3 linked regions of the Macaca mulatta genome follow. The protein of the gene in region 3 binds, or shares a complex with, the protein of the main gene of each other region. Links are inferred from orthologs where the notes say so. Each region holds a gene or a part of one and is shown on either strand. Other genes may lie near its edges.

Evidence for each region.
Region 1: HTATSF1 (region 3) and SF3B4 share a complex: the UniProt entries of both Homo sapiens proteins name them as parts of the 17S U2 SnRNP complex. The link is inferred for Macaca mulatta from reciprocal best matches to the Homo sapiens genes HTATSF1 and SF3B4.
Region 2: HTATSF1 (region 3) and DDX46 share a complex: the UniProt entries of both Homo sapiens proteins name them as parts of the 17S U2 SnRNP complex. The link is inferred for Macaca mulatta from reciprocal best matches to the Homo sapiens genes HTATSF1 and DDX46.

What each region holds. Positions count from the first base shown.
Region 1 is NC_133406.1:117,227,125-117,231,459, forward strand, and holds the start of SF3B4 (splicing factor 3B subunit 4), read left to right. Parts: upstream 1-1,443; 5' UTR 1,444-1,495; coding exon 1,496-1,529; intron 1,530-1,961; coding exon 1,962-2,090; intron 2,091-2,328; coding exon 2,329-2,871; intron 2,872-3,200; coding exon 3,201-3,407; intron 3,408-4,335. Other genes in the region: MTMR11 (myotubularin-related protein 11), read left to right, coding at 1-116. UniProt on the Homo sapiens protein: Component of the 17S U2 SnRNP complex of the spliceosome, a large ribonucleoprotein complex that removes introns from transcribed pre-mRNAs.
Region 2 is NC_133411.1:143,673,178-143,677,453, reverse strand, and holds the start of DDX46 (probable ATP-dependent RNA helicase DDX46), read right to left. Parts: upstream 2,893-4,276; 5' UTR 2,782-2,892; coding exon 2,765-2,781; intron 1-2,764. UniProt on the Homo sapiens protein: Component of the 17S U2 SnRNP complex of the spliceosome, a large ribonucleoprotein complex that removes introns from transcribed pre-mRNAs.
Region 3 is NC_133426.1:142,836,339-142,839,428, reverse strand, and holds the end of HTATSF1 (17S U2 SnRNP complex component HTATSF1), read right to left. Parts: intron 2,815-3,090; coding exon 2,677-2,814; intron 2,092-2,676; coding exon 889-2,091; 3' UTR 559-888; downstream 1-558. UniProt on the Homo sapiens protein: Component of the 17S U2 SnRNP complex of the spliceosome, a large ribonucleoprotein complex that removes introns from transcribed pre-mRNAs.

The DNA.
Region 1 (4,335 bases), on a different chromosome or scaffold from region 3:
GGACACCAAGAATATCTCCTGAAGTTCACTCCAAGAAAAGAGATCCACATACCATTCTCAATCCCACTGAAATTGTGGGCATTCTCAAAGGCAGGGCAGAGGGGGATCTGGGGTAGAGGACGGTTCTGTCTAATCCTTTTTTTTTTTTTTTTTTTGTTTCTGGACTTGCAGCCTCAGCTTTCACACTCCAGCCCTTAAGTTCACTAAGAAGGTCTGAGTTTCTGCTGCAGATGGTGGTGTTAACTGCTCCAACTCTTGTCCTGTCTTGCTTAGTTCCTACGGATATTTTTGTTTCTTGTCATTTGAAGGATTAAGAAACAAAAACAATCCAGAAATTGATCGGTTTTTTTAGACCAGTTCCATCCCTTCTGGATAACCAGATGTTAAATCGTGAGATCAGAGATGCTGTTCATCAGTCCCAACAAGATGGCCTACAGATCGCATTCTCACCTCGCCTTGCTGCTGCTTTAATTCCAACTTCTATTTCTTCCCTTATAGTTTTCTATGGGAATGAGGCGGATACAGGAAACACCCTGTCTCCTCTGTATTTTTGTAGCGGAATTTTCTATTTAAGGGGCTCATTAAAGCATAGTATTTATACACATTACTGGCATTGTTTCTTGTGTTTGAATAAAGGATTCTCCTAGGTAGGAAAGTGGTGGGTAAAAGGTGGGTATGATCCAAGAGAGGAAGGCATCTACTGTATTATTGCTAAGGAAATAGGGGAACTGGATTTGGTGAGACTCTGCAGAATTCAAGTGCAGTTTGGGGAAAGGATTCTGTGTGTGTCTCCCATTTAGAGGCAGATGGGGCCAGATTGTTCTAGAGATCCAGACTGAAGTCTCTGAGCTCCGATCCTATCCACCCCTCACCTGTGGTCACACACCACCTTGGAGCAGCCCTCACCCTCCCCATGCAATTACGACGAGATGAGCGCAGACGTCACTCCAGCTCAGACATTTCGCAGTCTCCTCCCCGAGGGAAAACCAAATACCTCCAGCCCAAATCAGGGCTGTTGAGGCCAAATCTGCAAGAAGGTTGCAGGCGAGATGGAGGGTTCCCTCTGCGCCTGAAAGCAGCCAAGTCCTCGGGTTGGGGGGACTCTTCAGCACATCCTTCTCTGGACAACAAAACATCATCACTGGCTACAAAATACATGAAAACTGAAGTTTTTGTTCTTTTAGCTTTCGAATTTACATTTTTGGGAGCAGTGTGATTCTTTCAAGTCTAGCAGTGCATTAAGACGGTCTGAGCGTTTCCGTTCCGCCCTCCTCGCTAAGACCACTAGCAGCAGCACCTCTGCGCGGGTGCCGAGGACTCCACCGCCCAACCCGAGTTAAGTCTTGGAGGCTCCTAAAATGGCTGCAGCCGCTTCCAGGCCCCTCCTCTTCCGCGGCTCCGCCCAGCGCTACGTCCTCCTTCGCCCCGGAAGTGGAAGTCGTGCTGAGGTCAGAAGGCGGAACCGCTGCTGGGAGACGGCGGGAGCTCTTTCGCCATGGCTGCCGGGCCGATCTCCGAGCGGAACCAGGGTAACTGGAGGGGGAAAGTCTGGAATGGGCTCAGCGTGGCTAGGAGGCCCCTACTACAGCCAGAAGTGCCTCTGCAGGGGTGGGAGACTGGACTCATCCATTCCCCAGAGGGCGCGAGACCGGCCCCGTGCCTCCTGGGGGCGGGGTGGCCAGGTGCTGGCTGAGGCCTGTGGGTGTGATACTTACGTCCAATCCCCTGCTGAGTTCTCACTCAAAAAAACAAAAAAATCCACTCAGAATACTAAATTAGACTTCAGAGGATTCCTGAAGTCCTGGAGAGAGAAGTTTAAGGGTTTAACTTTTTTTTTTTGCTCCTGTCCCCTACCCGCGTCCCCAGTTCCCCCGGTTGGGTTCCATCTTCATGTTTCCATCACCTCCTTCTTTCATGTTATACTCTCACCCTTGCTCTAACTTTCTGCTCCCTCCCTTCAGATGCCACTGTGTACGTGGGGGGCCTGGATGAGAAGGTTAGTGAACCACTGCTGTGGGAACTGTTTCTCCAGGCTGGACCAGTAGTCAACACCCACATGCCAAAGGATAGAGTCACTGGCCAGCACCAAGGTGAGTACATGACAAGGGGCAATTTGCTTCCGGAGGGTCCCGGCAGTATTCACAACTGTTTTGGAATAACATGAGCAACCTAAAGTATTTCTTTCTTTTAAGCCTCTGTTCAGTTTATTTCTGGAACCATTCTTAAGTGAGATTGTTTCTTTCTTGTTCTTTGTGATTAGAGGGTAGATGAGTTTTACCCCATTTTCAATCTCTTATGTTGTTAACCTCCTCTTCTCCACTTCTCCAGGCTATGGCTTTGTGGAATTCTTGAGTGAGGAAGATGCTGACTATGCCATTAAGATCATGAACATGATCAAACTCTATGGGAAGCCAATACGGGTGAACAAAGCATCAGCCCACAACAAAAACCTGGATGTAGGGGCCAACATTTTCATTGGGAACCTGGACCCTGAGATTGATGAGAAGTTGCTTTATGATACTTTCAGCGCTTTTGGGGTCATCTTACAAACCCCCAAGATTATGCGGGACCCTGACACAGGCAACTCCAAAGGTTATGCCTTTATTAATTTTGCTTCATTTGATGCTTCGGATGCAGCAATTGAAGCCATGAATGGGCAGTACCTCTGTAACCGCCCTATCACCGTATCTTATGCCTTCAAGAAGGACTCCAAGGGTGAGCGCCATGGCTCAGCAGCCGAACGACTTCTGGCAGCTCAGAACCCGCTCTCCCAGGCTGACCGCCCTCATCAGCTGTTTGCAGATGCACCTCCTCCACCCTCTGCCCCCAATCCTGTGGTATCATCATTGGGGTCTGGGCTTCCTCCACCAGGTAAAGCTTTTGGTTAAAATTTGTTTGTCTTAAGGTTGGGGGAGAGAGTCAGGAGGAAGAAAAAAAGAGCCTGAAAGGGGGATGGGACATGGAGTCAGTGAGTGATGGGAAGAGGACTGAGGGGTGATGGTAGTGGTGGAGAAGAAAGTTGTTGGGTTTCTTTAGGAGGGTGAAGTTGGTTGACTTTTCTAACATTGCTTTTGATTTTAGAGCACTGGGAGGAGGGGGAAAGAGCTCACCCTGCCCAGAGAGGCCAGATCAGGACAGGCTCTTTAAAGACATTTTCTCCTCACTACCATTAACTTTTCCTTTTTCCATTTCCTCTATAGGCATGCCTCCTCCTGGCTCCTTCCCACCCCCAGTGCCACCTCCTGGAGCCCTCCCACCTGGGATACCCCCAGCCATGCCCCCACCACCTATGCCTCCTGGAGCTGCAGGACATGGCCCCCCATCGGCAGGAACCCCAGGGGCAGGACATCCTGGTCATGGACACTCACATCCTCACCCATTCCCACCAGGTGGGATGCCCCATCCAGGTAGGTGTGCTTTGTTGGGAGGGAAGAGCTTGGTAGAGCATCTCTGTTACCTCTCACCCTGCTGCCCTTTGTTCCTCAACAGTAACAGTTTCAGAGTTTCCTTTCCTTCAGACATTCTATTATAAAAACATACAAAATACTCTCTAACATCCACCTCCCTGTATCCATTTCTTAAGTTTTTCTGACAAGAAGACTATACTTGCTGGTTTTTATTTCTTTAACCTTTAGTTCCATTCTCTTCTCTGACTCCAGCTCAAAGTGGTGACCTAATTGCCAAATCTCAGGGACACTTCTCCTCCTTATCTAGTTTGACCTCTGATGTACTTGAAACTAGTCGTGTCCTCCTGTTTGAAATTCTCGTCTCTTTTTGCTTTTGCTTTTCTAGATCCTCCACCCCTCTGACTCCTTAATCTCAGCTACCATGATAGACTCTTGTCTACTTGTGCCTAGATTTTTGTGCTTGTTTCTCTTTTCTGCATATATCTATAGTTTTAATTGAGCATATACTGATGCCTCCTAGATCTGTATCTCTAGTCCATAGCTGTTGACATTCCGGATCCTTAATGCTTTAATGCTGCTGCTTAATAGATAGCGTCATTTTTCTGTCCCTCTCCTTCAAACCCATTCTTTCTCTAGCAGTCTTTTTTTTCAGGTGCTTAATTCATGAATCTGAGAGTGATGTTTGACTGCTCCCTATCACCCCACTCTTAATACCAAGTCTTATTTAATATCAGTGGCATCTCTCCCCATGGCCAGTGCCCTAGTTCAGTCTCTCATTCCCTCATTATTTAACACTTAATTTATTGTAGTAATCTCCTTCCACTTGGACTCCAGTTTTCCCTAACTTCGATCTACTTTCACAGAGTAGGTTTTTTAAAACACAGATGTGCACACACTTGCTCAAAATGACTCTGTTGCTCCCTTTTAC
Region 2 (4,276 bases), on a different chromosome or scaffold from region 3:
GCAAGAGAGAAATCACTCAGTTGCCATTTACTAAGATGGGAAGGCTGAGGGAGAAATAGATCCAGGGAGAAGGTGGATCAGAATATTAGGTATCCAAGTGGAGATACATAGTATGTAGTTGAAATATTAGCCTGGAGTTCAAGGAAGAGGTTTCTCTAGAAATATAAACTGGACAGCCATCAGTGTACAAAGGCTATTTATTTAAAGCTATATAAATAAGATCACTAGGAGATGAGTGCACCTAATTATCTTTCAAGCACCTCAAGTTCAACTTGTAGAAACCCAAACTTGTTACGCTTCCCTCCCCAAACCATTAATCATACCAACTTCTGGTCACTAGGCTCAAAACATTAGTTGTAAATATTTTTCTCTTGCTCTCATTCGATACAATAAATAAAACACCAAATGGCTGAGCACAGCGGCTCATGCCTATAATCCCAGCACTTTGGGAGGCCGAGGTGGGCAGAGAGCTTGAGCTCAGGAGTTGAGACCAGCCTGGGCAACATGGTGAAACCCAGTCTCTACAAAAAAATACAAAAATTAGCAGTGTGGTGGCACACGCTTGTAGTTCCAGCTACTCGGGAGGCTGAGGTAGGAGGATCTCTTGAACCTAGGAAACATAGGTTGCAGTGAGCCAAGATTGTTTCAATGCACTCCAGCCTGGGCGACAGAGCAAGTCCCTGTCTCAAAAACAAAAAAAAACACCAAGTAATACCAATTTCACCTCTGTAATTCCCTTCACATTATATCACCTCCACAGAGTTCCAACTATCACTATTCTATATCAGACTTATCTAACTAGGAGATTCTTAAAGACTTGGTCTTTCTGTTTCTATTCCCTTTTCCATTAAATCTTACTCATTGCTGCTAAGGAGAATTCTGATTCTGTTACACCCTTTTTACTCAAAATCTTCAAAGGTTCACAAACAAATTGCTATCTTCAAAATCTACAATCGGCCGGGCGCGGTGGCTCAAGCCTGTAATCCCAGCACTTTGGGAGGCCGAGACGGGCGAATCACGAGGTCAGGAGATCGAGACCATCCTGGTTAATACGGTGAAACCCCGTCTCTACTGAAAAGTACAAAAAACTAGCCGGGCGAGGTGGCGGGCGCCTGTAGTCCCAGCTACTTGGGAGGCTGAGGCAGGAGAATGGCGTGAACCCGGGAGGCGGAGCTTGCAGTGAGCTGAGATCTGGCCACTGCACTCCGGCCTGGGCGACAGAGCGAGACTCCGTCTCAAAAAATAAAAACAAAAAAACAAAATCTACAATCCACCCACCTTCTGGACCCAAGTCCTATTCAGGACCCACCTCCTACTTCTCAAAAAAGATAAAAACCCTTCATGAAACCTATATCTGTAGAAAAATTGGGCTTTTTAGCTATTTCTCTAACACCCTGAGCCTTCCCACCTCTGGGCCTTTCATGATTCCCTGAACAAACCTAGAGCACAGGCCATGCACAGCAGAGAGGTAAAGGAGAAGGCTGAAGGGCTAGAATGCATCTTCTTGTGAAGGGCCTTGAAGGCTGTCACAGAGTTCATCTTGGAAGCAGTAGGAACCAATGGAGACTAAGTCAGGGGCATGACATGTTCTTATCTCTACTTCAGAAGTGGCACTCTGGCTGTAGTGTGAGGGATCTAACAATTAGGAGAGCAACAAAGGAAGACAATCAATTCAGAGAATAATCAATTTAAAACAGGTGTAGTAGTCTGGACAATAAACAATTAGGGCCTCAATTAAGTCAGGGACAGCCAGAATGGGGAAAGGATGTAGAAACTAACAGGCTGTGGGTAGTGAGAGAGAAAAAACGAGTCAAATAAATATCACTTCCAGATTTCTGGGCTGGGCAGCCTTCAAGAGATTTAAAACACCGTTACAGGAATTTTCTGTAGTTAAAGAAATATTCTTTATCTTCATCCAGGTGATTACACGGTTTACATACTTGCTAAATTTCATCAAGTTTTACCCTTACGTTTTGTCCATTTCCCTGACTGTTAATTTTACCTCAACAAAGAACTGTTAGCATTAAAAACAAAAGCCTTCATTGTTCCTACACATAAAATATCTCTCACTCATTGCTAAATACATAGCAAATAGTCATTTTTAACATAAAATTCTCAAGGTTCCTAACAATCTATCAACAATCTAAAGTTGTGATGAGATCTCATAGTTCTAATAAGAGCTCACAGTCCATAACTTCAAAGGACAGAAAAGCAGGTAACAAAGAAATACGAAATCTATTTGCGAAGTAAATGCCCACGCAACAAGTATTTATCGTAGCCCAGTAAAAGCCTAGTCGTGTACAGTGCTGTCGATGCGGTAAGAATGTCTGCCCACAAGCTACTTTCATGTAACTTGGGAAAAGACCATAAGCGCACAAAGAACTAAAATATAGAATGATGGGAGTCGAGGAAACGTTGGAAATGCGAAGTAATAAGCAATCCAACTGGGATTACTTCTAACTGAAGTAATCAGGGCAGGCTCCCTTGAAGTGGCGGGATGTGGTGCCCAATCACTAACGTCCTGGAGGGTTGTTCCCGCTCCAGGGTTTCGAACCTTCTGATAGTAGTCCAGGAGAAGCCGTCGCTGGCCCAAGCACAACCATTCCCTCAGCCGAGGTCCCCCAGCCCTTCCAATGCCCGCGGGGCAGCGTTGGCCGCACGTGGGGCCGCGCCAGGCCTGGCCGGGCGGCCACCTCAACTCCCGCCTCTTCTCACGACCCCAAGAAGCCGTTCGCCCGCTAGCCCGCTCGGTGCTCTGCCTCACCGTGACTCCCGACCCATGCTGCCGACCGCGGGAATGCTGGTGCCCTTGAGTACCACGCGCAGGCGAACGGGACAAACAAGGAGACTGCGCTGCCCTCAGCGCCCGGCAAAGATCCGCGCTAAGCACTAGCCACTGCTACACCGGCGGCGGCCATCCCAGCGCGGCCAACGAAAACAGGACGTGCTGGCGCCGGCAGCCGAAGGAAGAGAAAAGCCGACCGGAAGCTGCCGCTCTTCCACAGCGCCCCCGCTCGACTGGAGGGCGCACAGCGCCGGCCTCCTCGAAAGATGATGGCTTGGCCCCGACTTCCCGGCCCCAGCGCCCGGCTGATTAGTGCGATGGAGCGTAGCGACTCAGCCTTGCCGGCCCGGGAGGATGTTTCGCGCCAGAGCCAAAGAGGCGTCTTGGGCAGGCTGATGTCTGCCTTAATTTGCGCTACATAATGCGGCAACTTTCTCCATACACGCTCTTTATTCATGTGTACATTCTCTCATTTATGTGTTGTCATATGCCAGGCTTCTGCTAGATCCTGGGTAGCTCAGTCTAGCGGGGGAAATAGAGATGACTAAGCTAGCGCAGTGGCTCACGCCTGAAATCCCAGCACTTTGGGAGGCTGAGGCGGGAGGATAGCTTGAGCCCAGGAATTCAAGACCTGGGCAACGTAGCCACCGTCTCTGCAAAGAAAATAATAATAATGATAGACTTGACTAAAAACACAAGCTGATGTAATACGGCAAGGAGAGTCCACCATTGGAGAGGGATTCAGAAAAAACGTTTCCTGGGGAAGTGAACTTTGAGGTGAGATTTGAAGACCGAGTAGGTGTTAACCTAGCAGAGAACAAAGAGCTAAAAATACTTTGGTGAAAGATTAGTTCTCAACATTCTCTCTCTGGGAAGCTTAAAATAAAATAAAAAACACAAAAAAGGGCCACGCATGGTGGCTCATGCCTATAGTCCCAGCTCCTTGGGAGGCCGAGGCAGGAGGATGGCTTGAGCCCAGGAGTTCAAGACCAACCTGTGCAACTTAGTGAGACCCTCTACAGAAAATAAGCAAAATAATTAGCCAGGTGTGCTGGCACGCCTGTGGTTCTAGCTACTTGGGAGGCTGAGGTGGGAGGATCATTTGAGCTGGGGAGGCTGAGGCAAGATTACTGGAGCCCAGGAGTTTGAGGCTGCAGTGAGCTATGATCACTCCAACCTGGATAGCAGAGAGAAATCTCATCTCTAAAATATTAATAAATAAAATAGAAGCCTGGGTTCCACCCCTATGTTCTGATTTAATTGGCCTGGAGTGCTTCTTGTGCATTAGGAATTTTTAAGCTTCCCAGGTAATTCTGAAGTACAGTCAAGATTGAGAACATTATTCAAGAGTTTCGGCACCAAAAACTGTATATGTATTGTGAATGACTAGTCTCATAGAACACACACAGAAATGTTGAGTTGTTTTTGCGGGAAGCTATAATGGAGTTGGAGAAAGGCTCACATTTTTACTTTACTTGCCTCTGTACTATT
Region 3 (3,090 bases):
AATTTGGAAAGCATAATCAAGAAAGACCCACAATTTTATTGGGACTACACAACTTTGCACAGTGCTAGGCACTAAGATTCTAAAAAAACGAACAACTGAAGCATGCATGAAGTTCTTCAACTTCAGGGCATCCATGAACCTCCCCATTTTTTTCTGGGAAGAGGTCCTCTAACTTGAATTAACTTCTAAAGGGGCCCAAGGAGGCTAACAGTACAAGGCAGAATTCTAATCTGGTTCTCTAGATTTTTAATAATAATGGGAGCTGTAGACCACAGGAAATTCACTTTTGCACATCTGAGAGTCAATTTTAATGGAAAGAGGGTAGAAAACAAACAAGAGTTAATTTGCAAGGGCTGGGCAGAAAAAGCAAATCCAGAGGGTTGTTTTCTGAGTTTAGGAACATGTTCTGGTTTATAGAGAGGAAATGGAGACATATGTGCTACTACCAGCGGGAAGCAAGGAGACTACAAAGGGATTCTTCAAGTCCTCAGAAAAGCCAACCGTCAGTATAAATAAAGCGGTATCAAGAATTTACAATGCAATTTACCTCAAGTCCAATTTTCAGTTTCTGCGTATTATCAACTTTTTATTGATGAATATCACAAACTTCAATCAATGCTTTTAAAAATATTATTCTGCATGCATTTAACAAATCTGACAAAAGAACAAGTATCCAGTTTACTTGCATTGTAACTATGACATTTTAACTAAACAATCAATTAACATATATTTAAAACCATTAGGTACAGGTAACAATGAAAAACTTCAATGCTTTAATCTGATGGCATCCTACCACTATGCACATGTTCATGTAACACTACTAGTAATTACCCTGAAGCACAGGCAAATGTAGATGGAGGACTCTCCCTAAAAAGCAAGTTTAAGGGATTAAATATCATCATCATCATCGCTACTGAGAATAAAGCTGCTGCCAGTGGATAGGGGCCCTTCTTCAACACTCCCAAAACCACCCAAAGTCCCCCTCTCATCAGAATCATCAAACAACTTCTCATTGGAATCTTCCTCCTCATCAAACAACTTCTCATTGGAATCATCATCTTCGAACAACTTTTCGTCAGCATCTTCAACTTCCTTTCCGTCTGCATCTTCATCTTCCTTTTCATCTGACTCTTCAAACAGCTTTTCATCTGCATCACCTTCTTCCTCCTTTTTACCAGCAGCTTCAAGCCCCTTTTCATCTGCATATTCTTCATCCTCTTTCTCATCGGACTCATCATCAAATACTTTTTCATATGTATCATCCTCTTCTTCCTTTTCATCTGAATCTTCGTCAAACTCTCTCTCAGAGCCTTCCTCATCTAACACTTTTTCAGAGCCGTCATCTTCAAATTCAGAGTTTTCGGAGTCATTTTCCTCTAACTCGTTGTCAAGAACATTTTCATGAAGCTCTTTTTCAGAGCCTTCCTCGTCCAAATCTTTCTCGAGACCATTTTCTTCAAATTCTCTTTCGGAGCCATCTTCAGACTGTTTTTCAGAGCAGTCTTCGTCAGACTCTTTCTCTGAGTCATCTTCTTCGGACTCTTTTGTGGGGCCAGCCTCCTCTTCAGATTCCTTGTTGGGGTCATCTTCAGATTCCTTTGCGAGGCCATTCTCTTCACAATCATTTTTGAGTGCCTTCTTTTTAGACTCTTTTTTAGGACTACCCTCTTCAGATCCTCTTACGGGATTGCCTTCTTCAGACTCTTTTTGGGGGCAGCCACCTTCGAACCCTCTTTTGGGGCAGCCCTCTTCAGATTCTTTTGCAGGGACGCCTTCTTCGGCTTCTTTTTCGGGGCTACTTTCTTTAGCATTGTTTTCAAAAGCACCTTCTTCAAATTCTCCCCCATCTTCTGTCTTTTCAAACTTCTTCTCATCTATAGGTTCTTCAAACGCCATTCCAGTTGCAGTTTCTTGAGCATTCATTTTAGATGTGCTGGGGTGCTCTGAAAAATGCCTTGCTCTAGAAGGCCCTGCCCTTTCGGAAGCAGAGACAGAATCTGAACGCCTAAGGCCTCTGTTGGCCTCCGGAGCATTGAGGAAAGCCTCCCATCCTCTCAGCCTTTCCTCCCTTTCTCTTGAGGTTTCCTCCACCTGTGGATAAATGGAGACTGCCATTAAAATAAGTTTTAGGCAAAAGGTTACTTTTCTGAACATATCTAATATTGATGAAACAACCTTAATTTTATAAAGCATCTCTTCTTAGGAAAGCAATACCCTGTCTTCAGTTTTCAAAACTTTACATCTTGATTTACTAGAGTTGACCTTAAATAAGATCACTTGAATAAAGGCCAAATATCACAGTACTGCAGAAATGTCTCATCTCTTAAAAAGTTAATATTTGAGCTCTGTCCATACTTCACAGCATACAAAGGAAGAGTAACATTTGGTTGAATGTGTTCTTTTCTTATCACTATTCTGAACAAGCCTCAAACTTTCAGACTTATAAACTGAAAAACTCAAATAGTTCTTTATCTTCTGAATGCAAAATATTATTTAAAAGAAGCACTGTAAATAATAAAGAGGAAGAGTAAAAAATTAAAACATATAAATAAATAAAAAGAAAAGAAGCATTGTTACATTAAATAGGTTAAACCAAACCCAAAATTTAGATCTGAAGGATCAGTATTTGTTGGTAATGAAACAACGTGTGTGTCCCTGACAAGCTGCAGAATTTACCTGATAATCTGTAGTCCCATCCCATGCCTGGGCAGTGATTTGACGGCCACCAAACCATCTTCCATCCAGAGTTTGAATACAATAATCAGCTTCCTCTGGATCCCGAAAGGACACAGAGGCCACACCATCTGGGTGCCTCTAGAAAGACAAGAAAGAAAAAAAAGGAATGAACGGTAAGATTAAAAATAAAACACATACATTTCACAAAGTAGGTAAGTAGTAGTGTTCTCTCTGATACTCTGAAGTAAAAGACTTTATGTATGAAGTCTTTCTTCCCTTTTATCCCAGCCAGTCACATGCAGTCAGCTGCTTCTTTACCTTAATCTTACCTAGCAAGAACCAAGCACAATGTCCTTGGAAATGTTTCTGCTGACATCCCTGTCTAATGAGAAGCAGGACAGTATAATTGTTAAG